7 linked regions of the Callithrix jacchus genome follow. The protein of the gene in region 6 purifies or fractionates together with the protein of the main gene of each other region. This does not show direct contact. Links are inferred from orthologs where the notes say so. Each region holds a gene or a part of one and is shown on either strand. Other genes may lie near its edges.

Region 1 (3,500 bases), on a different chromosome or scaffold from region 6:
TTTCAAAGCTAACATCCTGGTAAAAAAAAGACTTGAGACGGAAGAATTGGATAACCATAAACATAAGTCACTAACCCTCACTTTTATAAAAGATTTACTAGCTCTTGATCCAGACTAGGGTCATTAAAAGAGAGGAGGAACTGGTATTAGATATGCTTTTAGGCCACAGTGATTCTGCCTCAAGCCCTTGGAAAATGTTTTAGTAATTCTAAGGGGAAGGTTGGCCCAGTATGGACACCTACCTATATACAGATATGTGTACCCCCTGTGAAATGTCTTCTTTAAGCTTTTTAATTTTCTTGACCTTTCTCTGTTCTGCCGTGAGCTTTCGGGCAGCGTTGGCCTCTTCATGCGCTCTGTCGTGACAGGAAGGACATCCACAAGTGAGAAAGGCATTGAAGATCAGAGGCAGGGCTGAGGGAAAGAGAGAGCAACGGAGGACTCTCCCCTCCCTCCAAATGTGGATCCCCCAGAAGAGTTTGGGAAAGGTACTTGCCCGGGGTTTCCACCCAATCCCATGGCACTTACTTCTGCCTTTTTGCCATCTGAGCTCGGACATGGGCTTCTACCTTCGTGGGGTCTTGAACAGCTTCTGTTCCTAATACTCGCATCAAATTAGAAATTCTCACTGCAGTGAAGAGAGGACAGCAATCAATCTTTGAGGTCACTTCTGCAGCTGGGTAACTTGTTATCTCTTCCATACCAATTCATACAATTTACCTATTTCAAATCTCTGCTCTAAACTCACTTCCTCCAATAACTCCTACCTTGAAAATCCCACCCAATCACTTCAGCATTTGCGAAAGTTCACACAATTAAGTTGAAGAATTGGCATGCATTTATGTTACCTGAAAATTTATGAAGGAACTTCATAGATGTGGAACTTAATTTCTTTCATATTTTTCACACTGATCACAGCATCCGGTAAAAGAGCTTATACATAACAGTTACTCACTCAAAATATTGCTGAATGAGTATGTAACTACAGGGGCAAGTTTTTATTTTTGCCAATCAGTTTGAGCTTATAAGGTTGCTCAGGTTAGCCTTGAACTCATGAGCTCACCTTCGCAAGCACCACGACCTCCAGTGGGAGCCACTTTGGACCCCTTTATTTTTTTTGTTTTTGTTTTTTGAGGGGCAAGTTTTTTATCCTATACTTTCATTGCAAAAATTAAAACATTAAGAATTATGTACATAAAAGTCTACACAAATATTACAACTACTATCTTAATGAATTTCAAGACCTGTATTCTTCCAGGAAAACCAGAGTGCTTATATAATCAGTATGCTTAAAAATAAGCCTTAAATGGCCTCTATAACGAATGTGTTGACCTATCTTAATATGAAAAGATGGCAGAAAACTTGGAGAAAAAAGACTCCAAGAATGATTCTTAGAAACAGAAATCACCCAAATATAGAAATGTTAAGGTTCCTCTAGAATTAAAGACATAAACTTGCCACCCTTTTTAGCGGCAGAGGCCACTAAGAAATGTACCTTTGGGTTCTGGAGGAGGCATTAGGCCCAGCCTGACTTTTTCTTGTAGTTCTTTCTGTGCTTCCCTCCTTGTTTGTCTCCGAAGTTTTTTCTGTTCCTTCTTGGTAAGATATACTCCCAGCGTAACTGGTGTATCATTGTCAACTGTGAGGCAGAAAAATTAGTATACCAAAGCAGTAAGAATATATATACATATATATATATATATTTTTTTTTTTTTTTTTGAGAAGGAGTCTTGCTCTGTCGCCCAGGATGGAGTGCAATGGCATGATCTCAGCTCACTGCAGCCTCTGCCTCCCCGATTCAAGCGAATCTCCTGCCTCAGCCTCCTGTACACGCCACCATGCCTTGCTAATGTTTGTATTTTAGTAGAGACGGGGTTTCACCATGTTGGCCAGGCATGAGCCACTGAATCCAGCCAGCAATAATAGTATTAAAGAGACCAAGGTAAATATCAATATCATTAAAAGAAACATTAGGCTGGGCACAGTGGCCTATGCCTGTAATTCTAGCACTTTGGTAGGCCAAGGTGGGAGGATTGCTTGAGCCCAAGAGTTCAAGACCAGCCTGGACAACAAAGTGAGACCCGACTACTATAAACATTTTATGTAAAAAAAAAAAAAAAAAAAATTGAAACTTTAGAGAATGAAGAAAACTCATTAATTAATAAGAGATCAGTAAGATTAAAATCAGTTCAAGCCAAGGCACTATGGCAATGTTCTTAAAAAAATTCTTATCTTTAAGTAGTGTTCTTAGTTGTTTTCCTTTAAGTTATTAAATCCCTTCATCAAATGATACCTGGCAAATATAGAAAACAAAATTAGGGCCAGGTGCTGTGGCTCACGCCTGTAATCCCAACACTTTGAGAGGCCAAGGTGGGTGGATCACTTGAAGTCAGGAGTTTAAGACCAGCATGCCCAACATAGCAAAACCCTGCCTCTACTAAAAATACAAAAATTAGCTGGGTGTGGTAGCAGGCACCTATAATCCCACTACTTGGTAGGCTGAGGCAGGAGAATCGCTTAAACCCAGGGGGTGGAGGTTGCAGTGAGCCCAGATTGCACCATTACACTCCAGCCTGGGTGACAAGAGAGAAACTCCGTTTCAAAAAAAAAAAAAATTAGGCTGGCCTCAGGAATTTGAGACCAGCCTAGCCAATATGATGAAACCCCATTTCTACTAAAAATATAAAAATTAGCTAGGTATGATGACTCAAGCCTGTAGTCCCACTACTCAGGAGGCTGAGGCAGAAGAATTGCTGGAACCTGGGAGATGGAGGTTGCAGTGAGCCAAGATTGCACCACTGCACTCCAGCCTGGGAAACAGAGCAAGACTCCATCATAAAAAAAAAAAAAATTAAAAATTAAAAACTTAAAAATAAGTAAAACAAAAAACAAAAACTCCACATTCTTCTAATGATTCACACTGATAACCGCTAAGTAGAATCTAGTTAAGTAAATTTCAGTGACTATTACAAATTGTATTGTCTGTTTTGTTTTTGAGACAGGGTCTCTCTCTGTCACCCAAACTGGAGTAGAGGCATGTTTACACCTTAATACAATCTCTACCTCCTAGGCTCATGCAATCCACCCCCCATCAGCCTCCCAAGTAGCTAGGACTACACATGCATGCCACCTTGCCAGCTCATTTTTTGTAGAAACAAGGATTTACCACCGGGCCTGGTCATAATTTATATTAAGATCTCAAACTACTTTTTAAACTTATTGAAAGATACTGTCAAGCAAATTTATCAATTAGGATATTTTCTCCTAGTTTATCCCAAGTGTTAAAATAGCCTATGATTTGCCTAAGCCTTGAAGAATGCATTTCAGTTATTATCTCTACAAATGAGGAAATTCCCAATATTCAAAGTGACATATCCATGGCCAGGCATTCTGCTAGTTAAAAACACAGCCACAACTAAGCCAAAAACTTTGCTACAAAAAGAAAAAAGGAAAACTGCCCACAGAGGAGGTCTACAGAAAAAAAAAAAAATTAAAAAAAG
Region 2 (3,500 bases), on a different chromosome or scaffold from region 6:
GAGATGGAAAGGGGCAGTCGGGGAAGGGGCGGAGATGGAAAGGTACAGTCGGGGAAGGGGCGGAGATGGAAAGGGGCAGTCGGGGAAGGGGCGGAGATGGAAAGGGGCAGTCGGGGAAGGGGCGGAGATGGAAAGGGGCAGTCGGGGAAGGGGCGGAGATGGAAAGGGGCAGTCGGGGAAGGGGCAGAGATGGAAAGGGGCAGTCGGGGAAGGGGCGGAGATGGAAAGGGGCAGTCGGGGAAGGGGCGGAGATGGAAAGGGGCAGTCGGGGAAGGGGCGGAGATGGAAAGGGGCAGTCGGGGAAGGGGCGGAGATGGAAAGGGGCAGTCAGGGAAGGGGCAGGAAGAAACGTGTGGTAGGCCGGGCGCGGGGGCTCACACCTATGATCCCAGCAGTTTGAGACCAGCCTGGGCAACACGGTGCTACCCGCTCCCTACTAAAAATACAAATTTTAGCTGGGTCTGGTGGTAGGCACCTGTAATCCCAGCTACTAGAGAGGCTGAGGGAGGAGAACTGCTTGAACCTGGGAGAAGTTGCAGTGAGCCCAGACTGTACCACTGCCCTCCAGCCTGGGCGACAGAGTAAGAATCTGTCCCAAAAAATATAAACAAATACAAATGAGGGCAGAGATGGCAAGGGACACTCAGGGCAGGTGCAGAACGAAACGCATGGCAGCCAGGGGAAGAGGGAAGACCGCAGATGGCAGGCAGCACAGACAGGGGCTGGAGTCACAATCTGAAGTGGAAAGTGGACAGAAAGCTGCGTGCAGTGAAGACTGCAGAGAGAGGTTAACAACAGGAGCCCACAGTAATCGGACGCCATAGGTGACGTGGAGAAAGTGTGAGTGGCAGTGAACAGAGCACAACTCAGTCAGAGCCAGAGCCACAGACAAAAGCCAGAGAGACACAGAGGATCAGAGACCCAAGGAGTGGGCCCGGTTCGTCTATCTTTTCTTTCTTTCTTTCTTTTTTTTTTTTTGAGACAGAGTCTTGCTTTGTTGTCCAGGCTGGAGTGCAGTGGTGTGATCTTGGCTCACTGCAACCCCCACCTCCTGGGTTCAAGCAATTCTCCTGCTTCACCCTCCCAAGTAGCTGGGATTACAGGTGCCTGCCATCATGCCAGTTAATTTTTGTATTTTTAGTAGAGATGGGGTTTCACTGTGTCGGCCAGGCTGGTCTTGAACTCCTGACCTCGTGATCCAACCGCCTCGGCCTCCCAAAGTGCTGGGATTACAAGTGTGAGCCACCATGCCCGGCCTTGTCCATCTTTTCTTTTGTACTTAGTGCTCTTTGTATTCTGTTTAGAAAACAGGATGTTTCCACTTTTCATGCCCTCACCAAGGTCATGAAGACATTTTCCTGTTTTCTTCTAGAAACTTCATTGTGTGAGGGCCAGGTGCAGTGGCTCAAGCCTGTAATCCCAGCACTTCGGGAAGCTGAGGTGGGCAGATCACTTGAGGCCAGGAGTTCAAGACCAGCCTGGCAAACATGGTGAAACCCTGTCTCTACTAAAAAAACAAACAAAAAAACAAAAAATTAGCATGGCATGGTGGCACCCACCAGTTGTCCCACTTACTTACTAGGGAGGCTGAGGCAGGAGAATCACTTGAACCTAGGAGGCTGAGGTTGCAGTGAGCCAAAATCATGCCACTGTACTCCAGCTTGAGCAGTAGGACCGAAACTCCGTCTCAAAATAATAATAATTAATAAATACGTAATAAAACTGATTTTTTCCACATTGCCCTTATACCCAGTGACCTTTCTAAACCAATCTTAACAGTTGCTTAGTAGATACTTGGATTTTCTACATGCACAATGACTTAAAAGACAGGATGAGCATGATGGCTCATCCCTGTAATCCCAGCACTTTGGGAGGCCAAGGCGAGCAGATCAAGAGGTCAGGAGTTCAAGACCAGCCTGGCCAATACGGTTAAACCCCATCTCTACTAAAAATATAAAAATTAGTCAGGTGTGGTGGCACATGCCTGTACTCCCAGCTACTTGGGAGCCTGAGGCAGGAGAACTGCTTAAACCTGAGGTGGCGGTTGCAGTGAGCTGAGATCACGCCACTGCACTACAGCCTGGGCAACAGAGTGAGACTCCATCTCAACAACAACAAAAAGACACAGGCAACAAAATCAAGGCCAAGGAGACAGCGATACCAAGACGTAGCCAGGAAGAAAGAAAGACACTGAGAAACAGTCACACGGGAACAGGCGTTCTGAGTGGAGATAGTATCATCTAGGGGCTCAACACAGGCGTTCTGAGTGGAGATAGTATCATCTAGGGGCTCAACACCCCCCAAAGAGAGACGGACACATAATCTCTATAAGGGAATGGAAAGGAGGGGTCTGAAGCCCCACGGGGAGAACTCTCCCCACCCTGTCCCAAAGCCAGTCCATGTGGCTAAGGAAAGCCTGTCAGTAGGAGGGTTGGTCTGCTGGCCCTGGCTTACCGGGACAGGCCCCTGCACAGCTCCCACCACGGGGGCAGCTGCCCCGCCCTGCACAGCCTTCTTGGCAGCTGGTGTCTCCTGGCTCTTGGGCTTTCTCTTCTCCCGCTTGCGATCCCGCTCCACAAAGGTGCCTTTCATCTTGGCAATGATATCTGAGTCGGTCTTGGCATACTGGATACGCTACCAAACAGAGAGCAGAATGGGTTAAGGGCATGGATTCAGAGCCCAATTGCCAAGATTCAAAATTGGACCTTATCAGGGGCCAGGAGGTCGAGACCAGTTTGACCAACATGGCAAAATCCCATTTCCATCCAAAATACAAAAATTAGCTGGGCATGGTGGTATACACCTGTATTCCCAGCTACTCAGGAGACTGAGGTAGGAGAATAACTTGAACCCAGGAGGTTGCAGTGAGCCGAGATCACACCACTGCACTCCAGCCTGGGCAACAGAGCAAGACTGTCTCAAAAAAAAAAAAAGCCAGGCAATGGTGGCTCACAACGGTAACACTTTGACAGGCTGAGGTGCAGGCGGATCACCTGAGGTCGGGAGTTCAAGACCAGCCTGACTAACATGGAGAAACCCTGTCTCTACTAAAAATAAAAAAAAATTAGCCAGGTATGGTGGCACATACCTGTAATCAAGACCAAACTAACCAACTTGGAGAAACCCTCTCTGAACTAAAAATTAAAAAAATTAGCCAGGTGTGATGGCACACACCTGTAATCCCAGCTACTTGGAAGGCTGAGGCAGGAGAATCACTTGAACTTGGGAAGTGAAGGTTGCAGTGAGCCGAGATCATGCCATTGCACTCCAGCCTGGGCAACAATAGCAAAACAACATCCCCCCACCCCCCCCAAAAAAGTGCTGGAATTACAGGCATGAGCCACGGTGCCCAGCCAAACAAAAATTTGTTATTGAAATGAGGCAAGGTGCAGTGGAGCTTGGTCCAGCCTCACCTTGGCCAATTAACCCTCATATCCCCTCCTCTACTCCAGGCCCACCCAGTCTCCTATAACATTTCACACACCCACACCCACACCCTG
Region 3 (3,500 bases), on a different chromosome or scaffold from region 6:
GGCCTCTGCCAGGCAGCATCCATGTGCTAAGCCTCCCAGGGCAGCTGAGGCCAGCCGGCAGCAGGCCAAGTGGCTTCCTCATAGTATGAATGGGAGCGCTGGGGCCATGGTCCTAGCACTCCTCCCAGGCACTTCCAGCAGCTGGCACCAGGCAGTCCCAAGAGGCCAAGGGCACTTAACATGCTGGTGGGGGGCAGTGGAGGGGGGAGTCGGCAATCAATGGTAGCCGCTCAGACAGCAATGCTGGGAGGGAGAGAAAAAGTCAATTCCCACAGACACAGGGGCCCTTTCTTCTCAGGCTGTGCACAAATTCTTTCCGAGCTGGGGAGAACAGTCTGGTTCTGGAGACTCCATGCCTGCTTGGCTCGAAGGGGGCAGGGATGCCTGAAAGGAAGTGTGGGCTACATTTACAAGAGTTCTGGGAGCTTGGAGCCCAGCTGAGAGATCAAAACAGAATAGGGTCATGCAGAGAGTTCCCTAGCTGAGGGCTGGCATGAGGCAGTGAGAGCAGAGTGTCCAAGCCAGGAAGGCGGCCACAGAACAGGTCGACACAGCTTTTAGATCCTTGCCTATGAATGAATCTTTGTTGCTGGAGCTGGAAAGAGGCTCTGTGTGGCCTGGGCTTGAGCAGCTGTACTGCCTTGTTCAGGACCCACGCCTCCTTTCAAGGTTCACAATGGAGTTGGATCTGACTGGTGGAGAGTACTTCTATCTCCAGGGTCTTCAGGGAGAAAGGTCATCCCACAGGCCCACCCAGCAGCTTACCTCATCCATATCTTGCACTTGGGTGTCCTGATCCAGCTGGGAAGGAGGCTCCTCTGTCTTCTCCTGTTTCTCATCCTCCTCATCAGACTCGACCTCCATTTCAACTTCCTCACTCTCCCCAAACTTCTCATATCGCTCCTGAATGAGAATTCGGGCCCCCAGCTCCTCTGGCGTGGTGGGGGGTGGGAAATTCCCTAGAGGGAGCCAGAGGCAAAGGCATTCCTTATCAAAGACCCATCTATTAGCCCTGTCTGAGCTCTCCAAGGGCTGAAGCTATGTCTGTTTTCTCTCCAGCTATCTCCAGAGGCCCATCTAGGGTCTGGCAAGTACGTATTGAATCTATCTTGGGCAAAGTGGTAGAAATGAAGTTTTCTGGGAGCAGAGAGGAAACAGATACTGATAAAGTCCTCTGAGAGATTCTGCTGCTCTCTGGCAACACTTGCGCAAGGTCTCCCAGGAAGTCTCAGAATTCCTGGCTCCCATCTGGTGTTACTCCTCACAGACCCACCTTGCTCATTGGGTTGGAAGTCCACTGTTTCCACCACCACAAAATCATGCCAGTCGATCTGAGCATAGGCCACCCGTTCCTTCTCCTTCTCCTCTTCTTCCTTCTTCCTCTCACGTTCCTGGAATTTGGCCCATTCTACTCGGTAACACACCTGCAGGGATGGGAAAGAGCTCGGTGCTAAGCTGAAGCAGGGTCTGCTCCCGATGAGGCCACCACCTTCAGTGCTTTCAGCAAAGCCAGCGCCTCCTTCAAAACAGAATGGAACTATGGTTCCAAACTATGGTATTTGCACCTGGTTCCACCCACACCGAGTTTGGACAGAATGGAAATTCCACCCTGTGACTGGCTTGGGAGCTGGCCTTCTGCCTTCTAGCTAGAGTAAAAAAGAAGGAGACATATTGAGGCTGAGAGCAAAGCAGAAAGTTGTGATACGTTGGGAAGCATGTGGACTCCAGGTTTCTTTGGACTTTGTAGCCAGCCAGGCCTGTTTCCCCACCATTCCCGTGACTGGAACATAACAAGGTACTGCTGCAGAGTCTATGTTCAAACATAAAACAGAACCCACCATCAGTAACTAGCTGCAAGAAATCCAGTTCAGTTTACCTGATCCAAAACTTCTCGAGGGTTTTCAGCCTCTTTCTTGAGCTTTGTAAATAAACCTTTGGGTGGAATCAAGATCTGAAATACAGAAGAGTTAAAGCAATTGTCAGTGCTTTATAAGGCGGGACAAAGAGGCAACCTTCCTGGGCCTGTGATAAAGCACAGGAGATGAGAAGCATGGGATTCTGTGTCCCAATTCCAGTTCTACTTGGCTGTGGGACTTGGGGCAAGTTACTTAACCTCAGTAACTTGATTTCCTTCTCCAAAATAGTGGCACCACCAAAGCTGGCACCATGAACTTGAAAAGGCTACTTTAAGGATTAGCAGGAAAGCACGCAAAGCACTAGCAGATTACCTAGAACATGGTCAGTATGAGACAGCTGCTTTCATGAGACTGACCTGCTCTTATCCCTTTGAAAATACTACGCAGGTCTCCCCTGACTATCCTATTCTGAACCATAGCCTACCTGCCCCACCTCTATTTCTGCCTCCTGCTTTCTTTCTCTCCACAGTATTTAGCACGATCTGACAGACACTAACATTGCACTTGACTTCTCACTAGACTAGACACTCCACGAAGACAGGGATTTCTCTCTTTTGTTCATGATTACATCTCTAGCACCCTGAATAATGTCTGACGATATTTTTTTTACTGAGAGAACAAATGCAACCTTTGTTCTAAACAGCCCCAACAGCTTCTACTGCCACTGGCAAAGTGGCTCAGCCCTATTCCAATTCTCCTTGTACCTCTACCCCAAGAATCTATCTGCTCAGAGTCTTCCATGGCTAGAAACAGACACTAGTACTCTCAAGTTAGAGTGGTAAATGCCAATACCCAAATTCTGAAGAAGAAAAAAAATAGGAATGTAACAGAATAAAAAATAATATGGGACCTTTAACCCTGGAAGCAGTCCACTGGGAGAAATTAATCCAGTGCTCACTTAAAATTGATATTGTATATTTAAAGTAACCCTTTGGCCTTGGACCTTCAGTGATTGTTATTTTAGCTACCATACTATCTTCTGGATTTGTCATTTTCTAAACACACACATTTTTACAATTTTTCCTAATTATATACTTAGAGTGAGTAAAGTTAGGAAATCCTATCAAGTCAGATATTTGAGGTGTTGTTTCTGGACATCAAGAACAGATGTACAGACCATCCCACTGAAAAGGGAAGAAAAACAACCTCTACGATGTATGTAGCAAGAAAAATATGCCACAGGAAAAGCTATACCAGCACACTCTGCAATAAATTAAAAATCGCCTTTTTTTTTTTTTTTTGAGAAGGAGTTTCACTCTTGTCCAGGCTGGAGTGCAATCGTGTGATCTCGGCTCACCACAACCTCCTCTCCTGGGTGGTTCAAGCCATTCTCCTGCCTCAGCCTCCCAAGTAAGTGGGATTATCAGCATGTAGCACCATGCCTGGCTAATTTTATATTTTTAGTAGAGACGGGATTTCTCCATGTTGGTCAGGGTGGTCTCGAACTCCTGACCTCAGGTGATTCGCCCGCCTTGGCCTCCCAAAGAGCTGGGATTACAGGCGAGAGCCATCACATCTGGCCTATATTCTGATTATTTTAAATGCCAGAACTGAATTGTCCAGATTCTTTTTTATTTATTTATT
Region 4 (3,957 bases), about 73 Mb from region 6:
GAAGAGGAGGTTGTATGTTCTGGGGGAAACAAAAATCATTTAACTTAGTAAAACAAATACTGCATTTCTTACAATGTTTTAGGGACCTGTGGGTACAAAGAGCCCACATTAAAAGCATTTATGACAACAGAAATCATATCCACAGTGCCTGGCAAATATGCTTTTGGTAAATATTTGTTATTATCATCTCTAATGACTTAAATATTATAACTCACATCAAGTGTAAAAGCAAACAAATGGTTAACATTTTCCAGTTGCTACATGAAAGAAAAACTATCAAAAAGATAATTTTATGAGACAAATGTCTGGGATAGTGTTGGTACCTCGGGTTGGACGATCCCTATTTTTCTCTCTTGCAGCAGCTCTCTCTCTTTCTTCCAACTCTCTCCTGAAGTCACGGTTACGAACCTCTTCAGGGGCATCCTGAGTAGTTTGTCTAAAGTAAAAACGAGCCAGGGCAAAAATGTTACTTACACACACACACAACTGTAGTAATGGAAGACAATTCAAGAATGAGACTTTGTCCTTCAAGCATAAAAAAGGGAAATAGACAAGACCATAAGCTAATCTGAGGGTTACTAACAGCCACTCCTGTGATGTTCCCAATATTTCGAGAAATCCAAATTCAGTATTTTCCCATGATAAGGCTTTATACAGATTTTCTTTTTTTTTTGAGATGGAGTTTCGCTCTTGTTACCCAGGCTGGAGTGCAATGGCGCGATCTCGGCTCACCGCAACCTCCACCTCCTGGGTTCAGGCAATTCTCCTGCCTCAGCCTCCTGAGTAGCTGGGATTACAGGCACACACCACCATGCCCAGCTAATTTTTTGTATTTTTAGTATAGACGGGGTTTCACCATGTTGACCAGGATGGTCTCGATCTCTTGACCTCGTGATCCACCCGCCTCGGCCTCCCAAAGTGCTGGGATTACAGGCGTGAGCCACTGCGCCCAGCCGGCTTTACACAGATTAAAATATCTGTAATTAGTATTATATCAACTCAGAACAGTAACATTTTTAATATATTGACTGGTGCTGATTGTGCATAGTCTCTCTGAGGCATTATTATTTATATTATTTATTGCTCTATCTACATATGAAAATTCCTGGTTAGTAGGAATTTTGCATTTTAAAATCATAGAGCAAAATTTTAGTGTTAAACATCCTGTTGCACTCTATGTCTATGAAAATAAATAAGTAACATAACTCAAACATACTACTATATCATGACCATGTCATTTAACAGATTTGGTCTTGTTTTGCGAACGACAACAAAAAAGTCTTATTACCTGTATTTTATCTTTGTATGAGAAGGTAGGTCTCTGCTTGAATACTGCTTTGAAAGTTGGCTCAAATCACCTTCTCCTTTTCCTCTTCCACCCCTTGCAGGTTCAAAGGTTGGCCTGGCTGCAGTTGTCATCTTTTATGCTTTGAAGAAAAATAGTATCAAGTTATTTCCAACATTACGAACTCTCATTTTAGAGTATTAATCAATATCCATCCTGGTGATATAAGTTCTAAAACTCATTCCCCAAAACTTGCTTAATCTTCTTAAACAAAAGTTTTCAAGAAAAAAAATTATGAGGCTTAGGCAGTACAAGGAATATGGATTCCCAGACATGTCTTAGTACAAAAAATTCTGTCACGAAGATCTGAGTTTGCATCCCTATTCTTCTGACTCTGTGGGCTTCACGAAGTCACCTAGCTTAACTTTCTGTCATCAGCGGAATGGAGATATTCCTCCTAGGATTATTGTAAGAATTACGACACTTGACATGTCAAAACCCTTATAAAATACCGTACTGCCATGACTGAGTTTTAAAAATTCTCAGCTCAACCTTACTCCACCAAACTCTCTAAGGTTTGTATTTTATCTAAATTTCACACAATAGCAAATAGACTAACAGAAACAAAAGCCAAAAACAATTTTTAAAAAATCACTGACGAAGTTATTAAGTGCCCTAGGCAAAAGTGTTAAACTTCAATGACAGTTACATAGAAAAAAAATTCTTAAACAACCTTTTGTTGATCCAATTTTCTTCTACAACAGGCATCATATTATAACTCAGATCTCTTGTGGGTTATAATTTAAGGACTGTTCAAAAAAACAAGAACCTCGCCCCAGAGGATTCTAATACCAAAAACCAGGGACACATTCTTTATTTTCTGCTTGGCGCAATCACAAGAATACTGTCTAACAGATTTAGTTACTAAGACGCTGTAAGTGTCGGAAAAGTGTGTGGGAGGGTGGGTGAATTGGGAGGATTTGTTTTTTCGTTTTTTTTTTTTTTGGCAGGGGTCTATTTCTCTTGATTTCCGAAAAGGGTAGAGGCATGTCTTCAAAGAAGAAACAGGATTATCTGGCTCTGGGGGCACCGCGCCTTCCCACACGCCAACAGAATTATCACTCTGGCCTCCGGAGAGCTAGTCTTTGGCTATAACCAGAAACTCGCTACCTCTTCACCCGTGCCTAGCACTACAGGGATGCGAGGAGTAGTGAAGGGTGGACCTGAGGCTCGCTTTAAGCGGTAGGCGAGCTGCCTTTACGCTGCGATCTTAACCGCAGGCCTAGAGCTCCGGACGCGCCTGACAGGCACTCGGTTCCGCCCCTAGCGAGCTGCTTCAGGGCCTCCGCCGCCCGCGCTCAGCACTCTGCCACCAACTCCAATCCCAACTGCCCTTTCCCGTCCTACCGGGATAAAGAAGATAATCTGTTATCCTCCTGTCACTCACATTGGCCGAGGTCCGATGCAGCAGGCTCCGAATATCATACAGACGCCATTACTACGCTTGGCTCCCAGGAACCTCTGCGTTCAGGGCTAGGCCTATGACCCGGAAGCAAAACCCAAGCGCTTCTGAGGCGGAGATAACAACCAATCCGCAGAGGCCAAAGTGGAAGTTGGCGTAAGGGCAATAAGGGGCGGGGCCTAAACGGCCCAGGGGGCGGGCGTTTGAAATCAGTGCCTTAGAGTAGACCCTAAACATCATTTTATACCTTCAAGAACCAATTACTTAATGTCTCTTCCGTCTTTTCCGTCCCCGACCCCCTCCCAGACTCCATTCCGGTACTGCGTGGACGGAAAGCCCCGGGTAGCCGACACCACGTCCCCGGCTAGCGGGTTAGAGCGTGGAAAAGGATTACACCAAACTGTTTAAATCCAACGACTCCTGCTTCCATCCTGAGCTAGAACCAACAAGCCTAGAGAGTTGGGCTTCGGAAAAACTAGTGTTTTCATTTAATTGGATATGAAGAAAGAACAAATAAGTACGGGGCAACCACGATCTTTATAAAGGTACCATTCCTGCAAAAATATTACACTTCAAAGCAAAGGTTGTATGCGTAATGTTTGCTAAAATTTTTTTATTTAAAAAACGTTAGTTCTTGTGGGAGGGGAGATGTCAGTATTTACGACAGCGTTTAGAACGGTGGGCCCAACTGCCAGAAGCACAGTGTAGTTATTAAGATGGCTACTCAAGTGTTAAGTTTTAATAAGACAACGAAAAGGAGAAAACCCAAAAACCAAAAAACCCACCAATCGTCTCACCTCCCTTCCATAAAAAAATAAGTCAATCTGAGAACAGAGGTCTTGAATGCTTAGTTCATCTTGGTATATCATCACGTAGACCTTGACGTATAGTAGTTACTCAATAAATACTTGTTAAATGGAAATTCAACGTCCCCAACTTAGTTTAAAATGTAAGGAGCTCACAAAATTGAAAATTTAAATGCTTTCTTATCCCTAAATTCTTTGCAACTTTTAAATGAAGGGGAAAAAAAAAAAGCAGAAAAAGCCTTTTCACTCGTAAAGTTCAAGATGAAAATCTTGATTTTTCTTACCAAAGATATCCCTCCTCCAGTGTTAAACATCTCAGTAAAGGTCATCATATTAGTTACTCAAACCAAAATCCCAGAGTGCCTATTTAAATTTTTTTACCTTCACTCTTCACATACAGTTCA
Region 5 (3,500 bases), on a different chromosome or scaffold from region 6:
GGGGTGCTGGTTTCAAGGCAAGTGGACTCTTCCCAGTGCTTGGGCCAGGGCTGGAAGCGGACAGGGCAGGGTAGGCGGGCGTGAGGAAGGTGAAGGGAGTGGACATCAGGGAGGAAGGGGCAGGAAGAGAAGCTCACATCAATCCACCGTGCTCCTCTTTAGCGCCTCTGGTCAAAGGTTTGCTGGGGGGTGGGAGGGAAAGGTATGGGGAGGGGTGACTGGGGACCCTCGTCTTCCCCACATGCCACACCCCCCCAAGGGCACTGAGCCCCAGGATGGGAGCAGGGCCGAGGTGAACAAGCAGCAAGCAGGCCCCCCTCGGCCCTGCCATTTCCCCCCAAACACTCCCACCCCCAGGAAAGAGGAAGTGAGGAAAGGAGACAGGGGCCAGGGGCCAGGAAGGACCAGTCTCTAGCTGGAGAAACTGCTGGGAGAAGGCAGGAGAACTCTGCCTATCCTGCCCTTCCTCACCTAAGGGGCAGAGAACAGAGACGGGAGCCTAGAGAGAAAAAGGCGGTGGAAACCAACACCCCTGGGCCAGAAAAGAAGCCCAGGCTGTGTACACTGCCTCACTCCCAGGAGCTCCCTTCTCCAAGGAGGCAGGGAAGAAAGAAACTGGAGGCAGAGACCAACCCCCTCGAATAGAGTCCCACAGAGAGCCCCAGAGAGTTGACAAGAAGAAACAGGCAGTCAGAGTCAGAGACAGAGAACAGCCCCTTGCAAAGGAAAACACAGAATCAATTCCATGGCCCCAGAGAAAGAACCTATTGCTCCCAGCAACCCACCAGCAACCCCCAATAGAGGAAATGAAAGAAACCCCAGAAACGGGGGAAAAATCGGAATTCAAGACAGACCAAGCAGTAGATCCCTCCCCCAGATCCACACAAAGAAAGATGAGCCACAGAAGGCCTGGGCCCAGATACAGAATCAATGGGCCACCCCCAGGCTGGCCAACACCCACCCCCCACCCGACTCCCAGGCTGGCCCAGCCCGGGGTCCCTGAGCCCTAGTACCTTCGGCGCCGCCTGTCCCGGGAAGCGCTCCGCTGGTCCCGGTTGCGCCGGTCTCTGCTCCGGCTGCGGCGTTTGCGGTCCCGGCTTCGAGAGCGGCTGTGGCTGCGCTTCCTATGCCGATTCTCCTTGTCCCGCTCTGGGCAAGGGTGAGAGGAAGGGGATGCGATGAGCGGAGTAAGGATGTGGACCCAGCCCACCCTGCGCACTGGTGGCTATGTCCCAAGCCCCAGGGAGGCCACCCCCCAAAGGGAAGGGATTCGATGGAGGAAGGGAATTAACAGGCCTCCTAGATCCACAAGCGAGTCCAGGGACCCTGAGGGGACCAGGGGGACGGGCCTGGAAATGCCCCCGGGGTGTAAGATACCTGAGGATGCTCAGGAGGAGCTGGGGAGCCAGAGAAGACAGAGGCTGGCTCCTGGTCCCCCTCGAGGGCTGAGGGGCCTGACCCCAGGGTCGTCCCTGAGAGGGGCAGGGCTAGAGGCTGGGGAATCAAGAGACCCAATGATGTTTTCCTGAAGGGACGCAGAGACCCCTCAGGAAAGACCTCTGCAACCAGCTGGCACCCACAGCCCCATCATCAGGCCTAGAGGTCAGGTGCCAGGCAGGATTTGATATCCCCAGGAAGCAGGGAAACTCAACCCATCCCTTCCCAACCTGGTGAATAATGCAGAAGCAAGCACGCTTCCCCCGGGGAGTGAAGGGCCTTGAAGCAGCTGCAGATGGAGGGTACAGAGCCCTCCTCTGCTTCAGCAGGTCAGGGGAGGAGCTTGCCCTACCCAGACTTTCACCCCAAACCACCTGACTCTCCCTGCCTCGCTCCCTTCAAAGCCAAGTACTGGAGAGGTTGTAGAGTACGGGTGTGTATCTCCGCCAGCCTCCAGACGTCCTATTTTCCTCCAAGGTGGCCACTAGAAACAGAGCCTCACTGGCAAAACCACAGAAACCTCTGCTTCCACCAGACCCTTCAACTCCTGAAGACCAACCCTTCAAGATGGAGGATAAACCATGAGCTGGGGGTGTTCATAAGCACCACTTAGAATTCCCTGAATTCAGAGATACCCAGATTTCTCAACTATCCATGAAACACACACACACACAAGATGCACATGTTAAGGTGCTCATACATGTTAACAAGCATCACCTAGAGTGATGATCCCTGGGGCCAGAGGGGGGAAAAGGCACAGAGGGAGAATGTTAAACTTCAGCCTCACCCAGCATTTTGTTATTCTGACACCAGATGAATGTTGGGAAAAGCATCACAATTCCAAAACCACCAACACTCAGAAAAATATGCACCCAGCGGGGGGAAAAAAACAGTAACAAATAATGTGATGCTTCTTACGACGGAAATCTGTATTAAATAGTTCTGTTTGCAAAAAATTAGCTGGGCATGGTGACGCATGCCTGTAATCCCAGCTACTTGGGAGGTTGAGGCAGGAGAACTGCCTGAACCCAGGAGGCAGAGGTTGTGGTGAGCCGAGATCGCGCCACTGCACTCCAGCCCGGGTAACAAGAGTAAAATTCTGTCTCAAAAAAAAAAAAAAAAAAGTTCTGTTTGTACTTAATCCTCACTACTGCTTCAGAAAAACACTGCTGGGGGCTGACATAATGGATAAGGAAACTGAGGTACAGAGAGACCACAACTTGCCCAAGGCCAAACAGCTAGAAAATGGTGAAGCCGGAATTTCAACTCTGTAAAGCCATCAAGTTCAGCATGAGGCCATGCTCCTGAATTCGGATCAGGCAGGACATTCTGGCTAGAACCACTAATGACAATGCAATTGTCGGCTTGAAGGCCCAAAACCCCAAAATCAAAGACAGAAACGGGGGGGAACAATCAGCAGGACAAGCCAGCAGCGGAGTAAGCACACAGGCATGGCAGCGGGCACAGCGCTGGCTCCACACTTGAAAGATGGACAGGCTGTGAGCCCCAGGAGCCCTTCCTGCTGCTAAGGCTCTGAAACAGGCAGCAGGCAGAAAGGAACACACGCACAGAAAGCAGTGACGCCTGGCTGGGTGCCTGGGACATAGACAAGGAAATTCCCTGTAGACACAGCGAGCAGAGGAAGGCGCTGAAGCAGAAGCGGGCAGGTACAGAAGCTGGCCCGTCCTCCAAAGAGACAAAGACCCACAGCCAGAATGATACGTGTGCGCGGGCAGAGCTTCCCCTACGGCAAGAACCCTCTCCCACACACTGATGCTGGACAGGTAAAAACAGAAAGGGAGTTTCGTTTGCTGAAAACATTGTATTGTGGTCATCTTATGGGAGCAGCTCCGCCAACCCAGGAACCACGCCAGGTCCAGGCACTGGCCTCCCAGCATCAGAGGAGAAACCACAGGAGAACCAGTACGGTGCCATCTAAGGGCCTCAAAGAACGGACCAATCAGCTCGACTTGGTGGTCAGCATAGAGGAACGTGGCTTTGCAGCCAGCCAGAGCTCAAAATCAGTACCTGTTTTTCTACTTACCAACAACATAAAACCATGC
Region 6 (3,500 bases):
AAGCTCACGTTGAATTGTAGTGCCCATAATCCCGACATGTTGTGGGAGGAACCCGGTGGGAAGTAATTGAATTGTGGAGGTGGTTACTCCCATGCTGCTCTCAGGATACTGAGTTCTCAAGAGATCTGATGATTTTATAAGGGACTTTACCCCCTTTGCTCAGCATTTGTCTCTCCCGCTGCTGCTTTCCCTTCTACCATGATTGGAAGCTTCCTGAGGCCTCCCCAGTCACTGTGAGTCATTAAGCCTCTCGCCCTTATAAATTACCCAGTCTCAGGCAGTTCTTCATAACAGTGTGAGAACGGACTAATACAGCTGGTGTTCCTGACCCGTAGGCCTAGGCTAATGTGTGCTTGTATCTTAGTTTTTAACAGGAAAAAATTAAAAAGTAAAAATATTAGAAAACAGAAAAAAGCTTATAGAACAAGGATGTAAAGAGAGACAATATTTTTGTACAGCTGTACAATGTTTGCTTTAAGCTAAATGTTGTTACAAGAGTCAATTTTTTAAGTTTATAAAGTAAAAAAGTTAGCTAAGGCTAATTTATTACTGAAGAAAAAGCGTTTTATAAACTTAGTAGAACCGAAGTGTACTGTGTTTACAAAGTCTACAGCAGTCAGTGTATGGTAATGTCCTAGGCCTTCACATTCACTCACCACTCACTCACTGAAAGCCACTTCCAGTCCTGCAAGCTCCATTCATGGCAAGCACCATTTCCCAGTGCACCATTTTTTAACAATCTCTCATACCTTATTTTTAACTGAACCTTTTCTATGTTTAGATCTGTTTAGATACACAAATACTTACCATTGTGTTATAACTGTATTCAGTACATTTAATACACTGTACAGGTTTGTAGCCTAGGAGCAATAATAGACTCTACTAAGGTTATAGCACTAGCCTTGGTGTGTAGTAGGCCACACCACTAGGTATGTGTAAGTACACGCTATAATGGTTGCACATGGCGAAATGGCCTAACAAGATATTTCTCAGAACATATCCCCATTAAGGGATGTGACTGTATGATCTTCAATCATCTGACCCTCTGCAAGTCTAATGTTTTGTGGGACTCTCGTGCACAGAGAATTAAAATGGCTTTCCTCCTGTCACTCTGTCTAATGTCCATTTATTTCAGATTCAGTTAGCAAACCTTCAGAGGGAGGAGTCTTCTCTTCCTCCAGCAACCTGCCCAATGCCACAAGGCATGGAAGTGGCAGAGCTGGTACTAGCATTTACTGCCATGCAGTCTCAGTCTGCTTCCTTAGCTATAAAGCTCTGCCTTAGGTGGTAACCGAAAGCTGCTTAGGTAAATTCATGCAAGCCTTAGAGATTCCTAACCCAGTGAGGCTTCCCTCCAGGCCTGGGCACCTAGAGACCAGCCTCTACCTGTAAAGTGAAGAATCTCCGTCCATTGTTTGCAGATGTAGATCTGGACATCCGTGCCCCCAAGGGCCAGGTAGGTACCACTCTGGTCAAAGATCAGTGACTTTACCTGTTAGAAACAGAAAGGTCACACGAGGGGAACAGAAACTATGGGGCAATTGCAGATAAGCAGAAGCAATGAGATTAATTCAATAATCAACAAATAAGGAGGCACAATGGGAAGCTGGGGAGGGAGAGGGGCACACCTCGAAGTTGCTATCCAGCTGCAACGTCTTAAAGTTCTTAAGCTTGCGCAGATCCCAAAGCTTAACAGAGGAGTCATCAGCCGCTGTCGCCAGGTAGTAACCATTCTCAGAGAAGGCAATGCTGGTGATGGGGCCCGAGTGGCCAGGGAAGTTGGCCACATTGGTTCGTTCCTACAGTGGCGGTGGGGAGTAAAATATGTCACCCATACATCACGAGAGGAAGAAAATGGGGCTCAGCAAACTCCTACCTGAGATGTCCACCACTGTCCTTCCAGGAAGGACAGCCAGCAGGATGCCACCCAGACCACACCATCATATCACACATGCACAGCCAGTGTCTCTCCACCCTCAAGGCCAGGTGCCACAAGCACCCAATCAGCACTGCACTGTCACAGACGCTCCCTCCAGCCCGGGGCCTCAGATGGAGGCCTACCATGTTCTCCTACCTTCAAGTCCCAGATCTTGATCTGAGAGTCCATGGTTCCCGTTCCAAAGATGAGTCCGTCAGGGTGGAACTGTGCACAGGTGAGAGCTGTGGAAGAGGGAAGACAGACCTGTGATTAGAGCCCACCAGGGAGAGACTAAGAGCAGCAAAGGTAGGTTCCTTGTTCTTCACATTCGTCAGTGCACCCAGGACAAAGCCTGGCACTAGACAGGTGCTGGTGGTAAATGTATCTTTAGAACAAATAAGCAAATGACTAAATAAAACATAAAAATAAATGATAAACAGCAAACAAAAAGCTGAGTGTCTACAAGGCAACTTACAGCAGCCGGAGGTCTCATCTGTCACCTTGGTAAGCACACGCCCTGTTTGGATGTCAGAGAAAGCCCAGTACTGGAAAAAAAAAAAAGAGAGAGAGAGAGAGAGACGATGGAGTCAGAGAGAGAGTGGGTCCTAGGCTTTGGTGGCCCTTCAGGAAGGCAGAGCCCCTGGTTTCGCAAACCCTGGCAAACCTAGCACCTCCCAGCAGAGGAAACATTCCCCTTTGAGGTTCTGGGGAACCACCTGGGGTGGGAAGATGTTCCTGCCACCCAGGATGTTCAAGCTTGGGGACCAGCAGGCCTCTCCAGGGCACTGGCTGGGACCGCACCTGATCATCGGAGGAGCTCAGGAGATAGTCACCAGTGGCATGAAGGCTGAGGCCGGTCACAGCACTCTCATGGGCCCGAACCACCTGTACACAAGACGCATTGGGGACCGACCAAATCCTAATAGTGGCATCGGGGGAAGCAGAAAACACCAGGTCCTAAAAGGAAAACAAATATCAGAGAGTATCAGTCAGAAAAAGGATATAGATCCTAACAATCTTATAAAAGGGGGCTGGGGATGCCCACAACTACCAACAACTGCTTCTCCTTTCAGCCCTGCCCTCCCTGGAACCACCTACCCACCCAATGGTGCCCAAGACAGCCAGTGGTAAACGCTATTAAAATGGTAACTCATACAGCATCAGGACTTGTGTAGGAGGCCTCGCCATCTAGTGGTAAAAAGGCTAACTGCAACATAGAGCGATTTTCCCACCCCATTTCCAGGACCAGAGGAGGAAACATGTAGCTAGTACCATTGAGGGTTTAAATTTTTTATTCTATTTCATTGAAATTTAAATAGCCACATGTACCTAACTGGTACTGTACTGCATGGCACAGGTCTGAGCAGTACTGGGACTGTAAGGGGCTGCACAGTGGTATTTCAGCACATCCCACATTTATGGATTTCCACCGTAAGTTAATTTTCCAAAAAACTTGGGCAGGGAGAGAATTTCGTGTCACTTACCGATTTTTTTGTTTAGTTAGGACATTAAAAACCATGAGGTAAAAATAACTACCATCTTTTTTAGCAATACAATTTCATGAGACATAACTATTGACATC
Region 7 (3,500 bases), on a different chromosome or scaffold from region 6:
CAGTGAACTGGCTAGGCTATGCCTACCTGTATATCCGAATGCTGCGATCCCCAACCCTCTATGGCATCTCTCATGATGACCTCAAGGGAGATCCCCTACTGGACCAGCGCCGACTAGATTTGGTTCACACGGCTGCTCTGATGCTGGACAAGAACAATCTGGTCAAGTATGACAAGAAGACAGGCAACTTCCAGGTGTGTGGTGGGTGAGGGTTTTGAGGCAAAGGTCTCGGCAAAAGTCAACCCAGGAGAAAATATGTCAGATTGCTCTTAGATAGAAGTGAGTACTGCCTATCTAATCGCTTGTTGCCTAGAACAGCGGAAAAATGGGTAGCTTTCCCCATAACTTGGGGTGGATAATTTAGCTGTCTTGTCTGTGCAGACACTATGGGTCAGCTTATTGTGCCATTTTTTTTCATGTGCCTGGGCCTGGCATTTGTACTGCTGTGAATTCATCTAATTGTCCTGTAAGGTCAATAACTTACAGGACATTGAGTTACATACTTTACAAAAAAACTGCACAAAAAACCTATAGGACAATAACTTATGGTCCACAGTTAGAGGTTGGAGCTCATTAATAGTCAGTACTGGATTGAGTCTACCTTCTCTCCAGGTGACAGAACTGGGCCGTATAGCCAGCCACTACTACATCACCAATGATACAGTGCAGACCTACAACCAGCTGCTGAAGCCCACCCTCAGTGAGATTGAGCTTTTCAGAGTCTTCTCATTGTCCTCTGAGTTCAAAAACATCACTGTGAGAGAGGTGAGCCTATGCAGCGTGTTGGGGGCGGGGAGTTGGTGCTCACCAAGTCACTGAATGGTTTCCCTCCTCGGCCTCTGGACTTTCCCTTGACGTTTTCCTCCTTGTGGCAGGAGGAGAAGCTAGAGCTGCAGAAGTTGCTAGAGAGGGTGCCTATCCCGGTAAAGGAGAGCATCGAGGAACCCAGCGCAAAGGTGAGCTCCTCTTTTTGCTTTGATCAGGATGAAGATTATATAGTTTTCATAATCTTCTAAAAGATGAACCTCGAATTTGAGTTCATGTGTGATACCCTCCTCAGTTCTCCTAGTTTTTGCAGCTTTCTTACATGTTCTTTTTATATGAAATAACAATTATTTAGTATTTGTAAGTCAAGAGCTATAGAAGATCTCACCTGGCATGAATGCTCAGAGCAGAAATGTACTTCCCTTTCTTGTACTGTTCAGTGATTGGTCTCCTGCTGGATGATTTTGCTTCTTTCCAGATCAATGTTCTTCTACAAGCCTTCATCTCGCAGCTGAAATTGGAGGGCTTTGCACTGATGGCCGACATGGTATATGTCACACAGGTGAGGGCAGAGTTGTATGGGAGCTGTGAGAAGGGGCCTGAACAGTTCAATCCCTGTGTGCTGTATGCATCCTGGGGAAAGGAGGCCTGACCCTAGTGAGATGGGAGGAATGCTTAGTTCTGTTCTTGGTAGTTGGTTGGTTGGTGCATGTGTGGTACAGCCACTCTGTAGTACCCATCTTGAGCACATGAGAAAGGTAAGGCCTTAAGAGGGAATGCTTTGAGACTCCACAGGCCCTCAGAGAGACAGGAAGAGCCACGGGACACAGTGTCTCCTTCTCAACAGAGAAGTGATTTCCCATTGTGGCTGCAGAACTCATAAATTCCAGAAATGGCACAGGGTTTTATTAGCTGCTCTTCATCTTTACCTCTAAGAACAGGTTACTGGTAACCCTTAACTCTTCGTAGAACTCTAAATGCTAAATGAGTCAAAAGCTCTAAAATCATGCAGTGAATGTTAGGTTAAAATGTGGTGCAGTGACCTTGAGCAGCACTTTTCTAATTGTTCCCCATTTGGTAAGCATCTACTATATGGAAGGGAGAAAGGTGTAAAAACAGAGGGGATTTGCCTTCAAGTTGGGGTGGGTCATTGCATCAGAGCTGGAGTAATGAAACCATGTGTAGAGTGGCTAATGAGGCCTGGGGATAGTCAAGACTTAGCAGTGGGAATGCTGTTTCTTTTCCTAGTCGGCTGGCCGGTTAATGCGAGCAATCTTTGAAATTGTCCTGAACCGAGGTTGGGCACAGCTTACAGACAAGACCCTGAACCTCTGCAAGATGATCGACAAACGCATGTAAGGGCCCAGTGAGCTGGATGTTGGTCACCATGAGTGAGTCCCCAACCCAAGGGTGTTTTGGGAAAGCCTCAGGGTGCATCTGATTTCCAGACCTGACATCTGAAATATGACCTGAACCTGGGTGCACATTGAGAAGAAGTAAGGCCCTCTGTGGTAGGGCTGGGGAGTATGAGAAAGGTGGAGGCCAGGGCTGGCACGGTGTCAACGTCCACCTTTAATGACTGTCTTGTGTGGTCACTGCTGAACTATTGGAGCCATGATGTGGGCAGTTTGTTGCATCCCTGCAGAAGGGACCAACAGCTTTGCCTCTTTCCTGGATAGGTGGCAGTCCATGTGTCCTCTGCGCCAGTTCCGGAAACTCCCTGAGGAAGTAGTGAAGAAGATTGAGAAGAAGAATTTCCCCTTTGAGCGTCTATACGACCTGAATCATAATGAGATCGGTGTGTGGGAAGCTCTCGCCCTTGTCCTCACTGCCTGGGGTCTTTCCCAGTCGGCCTACGTAGTCTTCCAGTTTCTAGGCCTTCTGCATTAGTATCCTTTGTTCAGTTTGTAGTCTTTGAGTTCCTAGGCCTTCTGCATTAGTATCCTGTGTTCAGTTCTCAAGTTCCACTGAAGTACAGGCTGGCCCTTGGACTGGGGACTTGGAATCCTGCACTCCACTGACAGTAAAGGGAAGACTATCCCTTTCCCACAGTGTCCCCTCAGGCCCAGTGTGCAGTATAGTAGGCAGGCTGGGCTGCAGCCTCAGTACTCTTATTTCCCCATAGGGGAGCTTATCCGCATGCCGAAGATGGGGAAGACCATCCACAAATATGTCCATCTTTTTCCCAAGTTGGAGTTGTCGGTTCACCTGCAGCCAATCACACGCTCCACCCTGAAGGTAGAGCTGACCATCACGCCAGACTTCCAGTGGGATGAAAAGGTGAGGCTTTGCAAGGCAGAGGAGCTGAATTGGAGGCACCAAGTCTATGTTGGTGGCAGAGGAGCTGGACTGGAGGTGCTCGGTCTATGTTGTCTCACATTCCTTTTACCTGTGCTCCTGTTGGCAGGTGCATGGATCATCAGAGGCTTTCTGGATTCTGGTGGAGGATGTGGACAGCGAGGTGATTCTGCACCATGAATATTTTCTCCTCAAGGCCAAGTATGCCCAGGACGAGCACCTCATCACGTTCTTCGTGCCTGTGTTTGAACCGCTGCCCCCTCAGTACTTCATCCGAGTGGTGTCTGACCGCTGGCTCTGTGAGTGTCTCCTCTCCAGAGTCCCCAGGAACAGTCCCTCCAAGAACAGTGGAATGTCTTGCAATTTGTCCTGGTCTTCTGGGATTGCCTTTGCCGGGGACAGAGTGATACATACGCTGCCTAGGTTGCCAGTGTTCA

What was found.
Region 1: the proteins of PRPF19 (region 6) and PRPF3 fractionate together in Homo sapiens (co-fractionation; 3 studies listed by BioGRID, with this or other methods). This does not show direct contact. The link is inferred for Callithrix jacchus from reciprocal best matches to the Homo sapiens genes PRPF19 and PRPF3.
Region 2: the proteins of PRPF19 (region 6) and SNRPA fractionate together in Homo sapiens (co-fractionation; 3 studies listed by BioGRID and IntAct, with this or other methods). This does not show direct contact. The link is inferred for Callithrix jacchus from reciprocal best matches to the Homo sapiens genes PRPF19 and SNRPA.
Region 3: the proteins of PRPF19 (region 6) and SF3A1 fractionate together in Homo sapiens (co-fractionation; 3 studies listed by BioGRID and IntAct, with this or other methods). This does not show direct contact. The link is inferred for Callithrix jacchus from reciprocal best matches to the Homo sapiens genes PRPF19 and SF3A1.
Region 4: the proteins of PRPF19 (region 6) and CWC15 purify together in Homo sapiens (co-immunoprecipitation; 4 studies listed by BioGRID and IntAct, with this or other methods). This does not show direct contact. The link is inferred for Callithrix jacchus from reciprocal best matches to the Homo sapiens genes PRPF19 and CWC15.
Region 5: the proteins of PRPF19 (region 6) and U2AF2 purify together in Homo sapiens (affinity purification with western blotting; 3 studies listed by BioGRID, with this or other methods). This does not show direct contact. The link is inferred for Callithrix jacchus from reciprocal best matches to the Homo sapiens genes PRPF19 and U2AF2.
Region 7: the proteins of PRPF19 (region 6) and SNRNP200 purify together in Homo sapiens (affinity purification with mass spectrometry; 3 studies listed by BioGRID and IntAct, counting the BioPlex papers as one, with this or other methods). This does not show direct contact. The link is inferred for Callithrix jacchus from reciprocal best matches to the Homo sapiens genes PRPF19 and SNRNP200.

The regions. Positions count from the first base shown.
Region 1 is NC_133519.1:10,267,563-10,271,062, reverse strand, and holds part of PRPF3 (U4/U6 small nuclear ribonucleoprotein Prp3), read right to left. Parts: intron 1,640-3,500; coding exon 1,496-1,639; intron 629-1,495; coding exon 529-628; intron 357-528; coding exon 243-356; intron 1-242. UniProt on the Homo sapiens protein: Plays a role in pre-mRNA splicing as component of the U4/U6-U5 tri-snRNP complex that is involved in spliceosome assembly, and as component of the precatalytic spliceosome (spliceosome B complex).
Region 2 is NC_133523.1:36,300,154-36,303,653, reverse strand, and holds part of SNRPA (U1 small nuclear ribonucleoprotein A), read right to left. Parts: intron 2,635-3,500; coding exon 2,455-2,634; intron 1-2,454. UniProt on the Homo sapiens protein: Component of the spliceosomal U1 snRNP, which is essential for recognition of the pre-mRNA 5' splice-site and the subsequent assembly of the spliceosome. U1 snRNP is the first snRNP to interact with pre-mRNA.
Region 3 is NC_133502.1:200,941,207-200,944,706, forward strand, and holds part of SF3A1 (splicing factor 3A subunit 1), read right to left. Parts: intron 1,952-3,500; coding exon 1,877-1,951; intron 1,425-1,876; coding exon 1,274-1,424; intron 960-1,273; coding exon 766-959; intron 1-765. UniProt on the Homo sapiens protein: Component of the 17S U2 SnRNP complex of the spliceosome, a large ribonucleoprotein complex that removes introns from transcribed pre-mRNAs.
Region 4 is NC_133511.1:45,351,680-45,355,636, reverse strand, and holds the start of CWC15 (spliceosome-associated protein CWC15 homolog), read right to left. Parts: upstream 2,801-3,957; 5' UTR 2,693-2,800; intron 1,428-2,692; 5' UTR 1,420-1,427; coding exon 1,289-1,419; intron 437-1,288; coding exon 324-436; intron 20-323; coding exon 1-19. UniProt on the Homo sapiens protein: Involved in pre-mRNA splicing as component of the spliceosome. Component of the PRP19-CDC5L complex that forms an integral part of the spliceosome and is required for activating pre-mRNA splicing.
Region 5 is NC_133523.1:48,521,816-48,525,315, reverse strand, and holds part of U2AF2 (splicing factor U2AF 65 kDa subunit), read right to left. Parts: intron 1,150-3,500; coding exon 1,014-1,149; intron 183-1,013; coding exon 138-182; intron 1-137. UniProt on the Homo sapiens protein: Plays a role in pre-mRNA splicing and 3'-end processing. By recruiting PRPF19 and the PRP19C/Prp19 complex/NTC/Nineteen complex to the RNA polymerase II C-terminal domain (CTD), and thereby pre-mRNA, may couple transcription to splicing.
Region 6 is NC_133511.1:117,920,557-117,924,056, forward strand, and holds part of PRPF19 (pre-mRNA-processing factor 19), read right to left. Parts: intron 2,876-3,500; coding exon 2,720-2,875; intron 2,464-2,719; coding exon 2,394-2,463; intron 2,161-2,393; coding exon 2,075-2,160; intron 1,800-2,074; coding exon 1,629-1,799; intron 1,493-1,628; coding exon 1,387-1,492; intron 1-1,386. UniProt on the Homo sapiens protein: Ubiquitin-protein ligase which is a core component of several complexes mainly involved pre-mRNA splicing and DNA repair. Required for pre-mRNA splicing as component of the spliceosome.
Region 7 is NC_133515.1:6,132,103-6,135,602, reverse strand, and holds part of SNRNP200 (U5 small nuclear ribonucleoprotein 200 kDa helicase), read left to right. Parts: coding exon 1-194; intron 195-612; coding exon 613-765; intron 766-875; coding exon 876-956; intron 957-1,243; coding exon 1,244-1,327; intron 1,328-2,013; coding exon 2,014-2,120; intron 2,121-2,444; coding exon 2,445-2,563; intron 2,564-2,890; coding exon 2,891-3,045; intron 3,046-3,172; coding exon 3,173-3,362; intron 3,363-3,500. UniProt on the Homo sapiens protein: Catalyzes the ATP-dependent unwinding of U4/U6 RNA duplices, an essential step in the assembly of a catalytically active spliceosome. Plays a role in pre-mRNA splicing as a core component of precatalytic, catalytic and postcatalytic spliceosomal complexes.